2 linked regions of the Nothobranchius furzeri genome follow. The protein of the gene in region 1 binds, or shares a complex with, the protein of each later gene. Links are inferred from orthologs where the notes say so. Each region holds a gene or a part of one and is shown on either strand. Other genes may lie near its edges.

What was found.
Region 2: the proteins of kiaa0895l (region 1) and tubulin alpha-1B chain are in contact, whole or in part, in a cryo-EM structure (PDB 7Z6S), measured with the Homo sapiens proteins. The link is inferred for Nothobranchius furzeri from reciprocal best matches to the Homo sapiens genes MATCAP1 and TUBA1B. Residues at the interface, in NP_001035805.1 of Homo sapiens: Lys219, Cys220, Trp223, Val226, Arg227, Gly237, Glu238, Val239, Val240, Val241, Gln242, Leu243, Met253, Met254, Val255, Glu256, Asn257, Ser258, Arg259, Pro260, Thr261; in NP_006073.2 of Homo sapiens: Asp345, Trp346, Arg422, Glu423, Ala426, Ala427, Glu429, Lys430, Asp431, Glu433, Glu434, Val435, Gly436, Val437, Asp438, Ser439, Val440, Glu441.

The regions. Positions count from the first base shown.
Region 1 is NC_091749.1:31,557,432-31,560,719, reverse strand, and holds the end of kiaa0895l (microtubule-associated tyrosine carboxypeptidase 1), read right to left. Parts: coding exon 3,045-3,288; intron 2,711-3,044; coding exon 2,613-2,710; intron 2,538-2,612; coding exon 2,376-2,537; 3' UTR 678-2,375; downstream 1-677. UniProt on the Homo sapiens protein: Tyrosine carboxypeptidase that removes the C-terminal tyrosine residue of alpha-tubulin, thereby regulating microtubule dynamics and function. Also able to remove the C-terminal phenylalanine residue of alpha-tubulin TUBA8.
Region 2 is NC_091755.1:36,643,928-36,648,174, reverse strand, and holds tubulin alpha-1B chain, read right to left. Parts: upstream 3,021-4,247; 5' UTR 2,864-3,020; coding exon 2,861-2,863; intron 1,974-2,860; coding exon 1,751-1,973; intron 1,631-1,750; coding exon 1,482-1,630; intron 1,407-1,481; coding exon 426-1,406; 3' UTR 260-425; downstream 1-259. UniProt on the Homo sapiens protein: Tubulin is the major constituent of microtubules, protein filaments consisting of alpha- and beta-tubulin heterodimers. Microtubules grow by the addition of GTP-tubulin dimers to the microtubule end, where a stabilizing cap forms.

The sequences.
Region 1 (3,288 bases):
TCCTCCCATCAGAACCCTGGGAATCTGCGCTGCTTGGTCCGAGTCACAAACAGATCCGTTCAGACATCAGGTCTGAACCCCCCGCACCTGTTTTAACACAAGCTAAGGGACTGTTGTTGGATCAGTATCAAGACTTGTGATTGCTGTAAAGACATTCGTCCGTCATTACGGCGACCGGAGATCCAGTTCCAGGTTTTAGCACTGAGTGACGTGGAGGCGCTTTTCTGCTATCGATAGAACAAAAGCTATATTGAAAGAGAATAAACCGTTTTTATTTAAAGGCATGTGTTGTTTTTACTTGTTTAGAAGCTTTTACTAAACTTTTCAAGTTATGACTAAAATCCAAATATTTCAAAGATCATTGTTGGTTTTCTTAGTTAAACTTAGTGGGTCAGGTCTGATTCATGTTTACTACTGGTTAATACCCTTATTTAGCTCCACCCTCATGAGGCTAGACTGAGCTGAGTCAGTCTGCAGGTGTAACAGGAGCTTTGTCACCATGTGGAAGAAATCTGAGGAACATTGACTTTTAAACACTTATTTAAAAAAAAAAAAAGAAGCAAAAATCAGCTCTAAATTTTAATGCAAAAACCGGTCCATGGTAGTAGAAGACGTTTGGTCACCATTCATAAAGAAGAAAGTGCTGAGTCACAACACAGACCACGGCACTCATTAAGTGTAGGTGTGTTCACTTTAATAAATAAAGTAGAAATTCAAGATGTTTTCCAGAACATTAAAACACTTGTGCAACGTTCATGAGCTCCAAACAGCTGCATTTGTTTAGGAGGATCCGGGTCAAAGTGCTCAGAGACAGTTCTGCTCTGACTGAACCTGTAAACAGCAGAGCGAGTCTCGGTAAACCTAAATAATCTCATCAAATCATGCTTTAATTTTGACGCTCAATTGTTGTGTGAAACAACAAAAAGCAGCAGTTACACCACAGATGAGCAGAGACCCATCGAAGGCACCACCCAGTGTCTAAGTCAGCCAACCTGGCTCTTAAATATTAAAACAAAGATACTGCTGAAGCACTTTAGCTAACAGAGGCACAGTTCAGCATGTAGGCAGGTACCGCTCCTCCAGATGTGCCATCTCACTTTGATTTGTGTGTTAAACATTCAGCCGCTGCCAGGAGACCAATAAGACTGAACATTCAGATTCTAAAATCTGTTTAAAACCATCTAAAGGCTTAAATATCTAAAATAAAGGAATAAAGCCAGAAAAGTAAAATCAGTTTTTTGGGTATGCTTTTAAAGAAATTCATATTTTTTACATGTCAGTCTGAAGCTCACACTTGTTCAGCTACATATGACACGAGACTCACAAAGAAGCTGATTAAAACCCAAATGCTGAACTGTTCCCGAGTGGCTATGGCGCCTTGGGTGAGCTCCAGGAAGGGTCCTATCACAGTAGCATAGAGGGACTAGTGGGCCATTCCCATCTGTACCGGGTCGGCCCGGGCCGGGTAGCCCCAGTCGGCCCCAGCCTGGCCCGGTTGATTCCACACATCCTTGTCTTAAGCCCATGTGGGCTGATTCTACCCACCAATCAGAGGCTTGCTCTAATGGAAGGTGTGAATGGGCTGATTCTACCCACCAATCAGAGGCTTGCTCTAATGGAAGGTGTGAATGGGCTGATTCTACCCACCAATCAGAGGCTTGCTCTAATGGAAGGTGTGAATGGGCTGTCAGCAGTGGGTGTGTTGGCCCTGGTCGGCCTGAAGCAGACTCCCTCGAGAAGAGGGTTGAGAATGAGCCTTGGTTGGCCCGGAAAAATACCAGGCCACCCAGATATGTAAACAACCTACGCTACCCGGCCCGGGCCGACCCGGTACAGATGGGAATGGCCCATAAAAGTCCACCAAGGACACTGTTAAGACAACACTGCTGATTAACGTCGGAAACATTGATATCTGGTTCTGAGTCCACTGGCACTTGATATTTTTAAAGATTCATGGCCTCAGCTACAGCTTCCCCTGGATTTATTGTGTCCTTGGTGTCCTTTTTTAAAGATGCAAACAATCTAAGCCATAAAAACATTATCTAAAAAAACAAGATATAAAGCTGAAACCAGAGACATTCAGTTTGTTCTTGCAAATAAAAATAAATAACTGCATAAATAAAGCGTGACTGTGAATATGTGAGTTACGTGTGTCACGTTGGTTACACAGAGATAATATTGAGGTAACGTTATGGGGGAAGGGGTGTTTAACTGCATTAATCTGTGATAGAAGCTACACAAACATGCATGGGACAGAAGTGAGGACGTAGATCGAGGCCTTAGTGTGTGTGTGTGTGTCCCTTTTGGTGGTGTCATTCAAGTTTTACGCTCTAATAAAGCGCTGATAATACTGAAGGTAAGAACCGAGGCGCCGCTTAGGGAAGAAGCTGCTCCAGCGCAGAGTCATCCAGCTCATTCACGGCGACGATATGGTCCAGGTGCTGCAGGTACCGCACCTGGTCACGCATGAAGTGTGGGGTTCTGGTCCGGGACAGCACCGCCAGATGACGCAGTCTCTCCACATCTTCATAGGACACCTGCAGAGGTGAAGAAGAGTTCAGGTCCTGTGGAAATGTAGAAAACTGATGGGCAGATAGGGGTACACACTTCACCTTTCCTAAAGAGGTCAATAACTTGAAGTCGACGGTCCTTCGATGCCGAAGGAGCCGCAGGATCCCGTCCAGATAAACCTGATCTTTGCTGAAGCAGCCTAAAACAAAAATATACTTTATTAAAGTGACATAGAGCAGCTTCGGTCTAAACCCACTGCAGTGGTTCTGCTCTCCACTTGTGATCAGAACACGTTGGCAGCATGTGTGAGCAGAGCCTTAGTGATGAGAGTCAGCCACATCAGCAGCAGGGCGGCTGTACTCCATCAGACTCTTACCTCACTTCTGCTGGAGTTTTCATCATTTAAATAAATAACCTGCAGAATTATTTCTACACCTTATGTTTTCTGTACAATCAGGTGTATTTTTTGCCTGAATCTTCGTAGATTAAGAAACAAAAGTTTCACGGAGACAGGAGTATTTATGTGTACTGACCGGGCTGCGATGTGTCCGTTTGTCCCCTCTTGGCACGCAGACAGTATTCCCAGCGGACGTCCGGATTCTCAACGAAGCATGCAATGTGGCTGAAGAGCTGGCTGAAGCTCATGCTGGAGGCGTGGAACACCGTGTAGTAGAGCAGCGCAGCACGCCACAGATATGGCTGCTTTCTCAGCAGTACGCTGTGCAGACTGGCCAGGCCCTCCTCCGTGGGATTGGCTGGTTTCAGGCTGAACTGCTT
Region 2 (4,247 bases), on another chromosome or scaffold:
TAGCTTCCTGGAAAAAATACTACCACTGAGCTGCTAGAGGCAGGTAGCTCTAGCACAATGTTACGAGACTTAAAACTGTAACAGTATATAAAACTAATTTTGCATGAACCAAAGTGACATTTTTGTGGGATTATAGATGGTTTTAGATGCTAGCTGTTAGCAGTTGGCCTATTAGTCACTAGGAAAAGGTGGTTTCTTAGCTTTTTTTTAACCTTTTATGGGGAAAAGATTATTGATGTTGGAAAAAGGGACAAACAACTTCACATCACAGAGGTTTTATTGTGAACAAAAACATTTTGACGGGTTCAGGAGTTTTTTTATCATCAGCCAAACAAAGACGTGAATTGAAGAACAATTTTTTGAATGCATTCAATAAATCATTGCTATCAATTATTTCATGTTGAACCAATTTCTCTATGTTCCCTTTAGTACTCCTCTCCCTCCTCCTCTCCCTCACCCTCAATGGAGTCGACTCCAACCTCCTCGTAATCCTTCTCTAGAGCTGCCATGTCCTCCCTGGCCTCAGAGAACTCTCCCTCCTCCATCCCCTCACCAACATACCAGTGCACAAAAGCACGCTTAGCGTACATCAGATCAAACTTGTGGTCCAGACGAGCCCAGGCCTCTGCAATAGCAGTGGTGTTGCTCAGCATGCAAACAGCCCTCTGGACCTTGGCCAGATCTCCACCAGGAACCACAGTGGGAGGCTGGTAGTTGATGCCAACCTTGAAACCAGTGGGACACCAGTCCACAAACTGGATGGTGCGTTTGGTTTTGATGGTGGCGATGGCAGCATTGACATCTTTGGGCACCACATCACCACGGAACAGAAGGCAGCAGGCCATGTACTTGCCGTGGCGGGGGTCACATTTCACCATCTGATTGGCTGGCTCGAAGCAGGCGTTGGTGATCTCAGCAACTGAAAGCTGCTCGTGGTAAGCCTTCTCAGCTGAGATGACAGGAGCATAGGTAGCCAGAGGGAAGTGGATACGGGGATACGGCACCAGGTTGGTCTGGAACTCTGTCAGATCAACATTCAGGGCACCATCAAAGCGGAGAGACGCAGTGATGGAGGACACAATCTGACTGATCAACCTGTTCAGGTTGGTGTAGGTGGGACGCTCGATGTCTAGGTTTCTACGGCAGATGTCGTAGATGGCCTCATTGTCCACCATGAAGGCACAGTCAGAGTGCTCCAAGGTGGTGTGGGTGGTCAGGATGGAGTTGTAGGGCTCCACCACAGCAGTGGACACCTGGGGAGCTGGGTAGATGGAGAACTCCAGCTTGGACTTCTTGCCGTAGTCCACAGACAGACGCTCCATCAGCAGGGAGGTGAAACCAGAGCCGGTACCTCCACCAAAGCTGTGGAAGACCAGGAAGCCCTGAAGACCGGTGCACTGGTCCGCCTGAGGACACAGAAAACAAATGAGTCATTTATCAGATTTATTACAGACTAAGTGTAAAAATATGACTTTACTCACCAGTTTGCGGATCCTGTCCAAGACCAGGTCGATGATCTCTTTGCCAATGGTGTAGTGTCCACGAGCGTAGTTATTGGCAGCATCCTCCTTACCCGTGATCAGCTGCTCAGGGTGGAACAGCTGGCGGTAGGTTCCAGTACGCACCTCATCTGGAGGCAAAGGGAAACTTTTAGTTTTCATTTGAAATTATTTGTGTATAATTTACAAAATCTCATGTTCAGCCAGTTTGGGTTACAAGGATTAGTGCTTAACCCAAGCCTAACCCTTACCAATGACAGTAGGCTCCAAATCTACGAAAACTGCTCTGGGGACGTGCTTCCCAGCTCCAGTCTCACTGAAGAATGTGTTGAAGGAGTCATCTCCACCTCCTAGAGTCTTGTCACTGGGCATCTGCCCGTCCGGCTGGATTCCATGCTCCAGACAGTAGAGCTCCCAGCAGGCGTTGCCAATCTGGACACCAGCCTGACCTACATGGATGGAGATGCACTCACGCTGGATAGAAGCAAAGAAGAAATGAGTCAGTTTTTAACATCACCTTTGTATCAACTGAGAATATTTAGCAGCTCCCCCTGTCTGTCAGAGCAGTCACTGCAGCCGGAGGAGGCTCCTCCCTGCACCACAATTCACGGGGGACAGAAAAACCTGACAGCAGCCCCCACAGAGGCTGCACACACCGGCTTCCTCCAGTCTTTTCAATCTGCTTTTGTCTATTTTATCTCATCTCCTTTCTCTTATGCAAAGATAGCCAAACATGCAAATTCAGTCGCTTGCGCACAGGCGCGTGCATTCAGTCAAATTGGAATATCCCAACGTTTTCCTTGAAGATGCTAAATAAAATGACTGCTCCTTCATGCCAGCTAATTACACATCAGAGAAAAAGTATTAAGTAGCTGAAAATAAATGGGGTTTTCGGTTTTGTTCATATCTGAATCAAATATATTTTCCGTTTTTTTTGTTTGAATCAAAATTCTCATGAATAAAAAATGATGGATGAAATTTCTCCGTCCAGCCCCGCCCAGAATTAAGTCTGATTTATTTGTTCACCTTTGACAATTAACATTTACACAAATAAAAAGTGTAATAATTCTGACCTTCTATAATAAAGAGGATGGCTTGTTCTCTCCGTGCCTTTTCTACGCCAGCCAGCTCATTGTTCTCACCACTTCACAATGAAACTCACATTGTGCGACTGCGGATCAATCTGTGCGTCAGCCGCAAAAATCCAGTATTCGTATTTCACATCAAACATCAATAAAACACGTTGCAGAGAGCTGATTATTCATCCAAAACCTCTCCGAAATTCAGCAACCCGTCGTCTAATAGCTGAATTAAAATGAAAATCTACCCGGTGGATTGGATTTGTTCTTAAATCAACTCACCATGTTTCCGCCGGAGGTTCGGAGAGGAAGAGGAGAAGAAAAGGGTGTTTGTAAAAACGGGGTGTTTGCGTTGCTTGTTGTACCCAACGGGGTCGATGCAACAACTGCTGAACGGGAGGGCGGTGCAGGCTGGTTTTATACAGGCAGGCAGGCAGGGGTTTGCTGTGAGGACAGAGGGAAAAGGGCTCTTCTACTGCCGCCGTTTGGTCAGGCTGCGCACATTTCCTCAGATAAGCATTTATTTATCTCTGCAGTTCGTTTGCATGCTGGTGTGATTAGAAATATCTGGTTTCACGTAGGGAGAAAACATGCAGACACAATCTGAAATAGCCTCAATGTTTCAAAACGTGTTATTTGCAATACATTTATTTTTGTAACTTATATTTTATTCATATCGGTAACATATATAATTATTATTTTTGATCAGCTGAAAATATGTAAAAACGGAGTTCAAACAAAGCAGGTTTATTGGGCATCCATCACAGCATCCACAACCACTTGGGTGTGGCATTTTCCCCACATCACCTCCCAAATGAAGGAGGTGGATGACGTTTTACGCTAAAGTGGGAGGAGCAAACTCTGTTCCAGAAGCTTCCATCTCCAGCTGCTGTGTCCCAGTGTCCATGCTGCAGGGAGCTTCCTTGACGTTCATCTTCGTGCCAGCTCTCCTCCCGCTTTGTCCCAGATTCTCTGCAATGATGTCATCGAGTGGGCCGATCACGTGATCTGCAGCCTCTGCTGTTCAGCAGAACAGAGGCTGGGTGCATCCATAACATGTATGTCTGTGGGTGCAGCCTGCTGGCCTGTTTCAAGCATCAGAGTGAAAGACATTGACTTGATTCCTGTCAGGGATGAAGTATCAGGAAGCTATTGCTGGAAAATAGTGGGATTGGATCAAAGCTGCTGAGTTTTATGTAGAATTTCTTGTCAGTCATTGAACAATTCGGCAAGGACACGTCACAGAAAGCAGGAATAGTCGAGGATGGAAGACAGGACAGGAAACAGTAATGGCTGCCAGAAACGTTCTCCTGCTCCTCCTCCTCTTCCTGCCAACAACAGCTGTGAGGCAGGGAGTGTCTGAGCAGCTGCTCAATAAGAGAGAGGAGGATGGGAATGCTGAAGGGAGTGGTCCTCCATGGCACAAAACTGACTGCATTGCATCCTTCCAAAGGGAGAATGTGATACCCAGCTATCACATTCTCCATCTGCCACGGATGAGTTTCTGCATCAGATGAGCCGGACTCAAGGAGTAAAGGGGAATAAAAAAAAAAACCAATTAACTCACTTAACCTTTGTTTAACATCTGATGACATATTTGCTTTTTCCTTGAGTGAAAACATTTCAGAAGAAGAATATTGCTTCTTTACAGGAGGAATAAAGGGCCTAG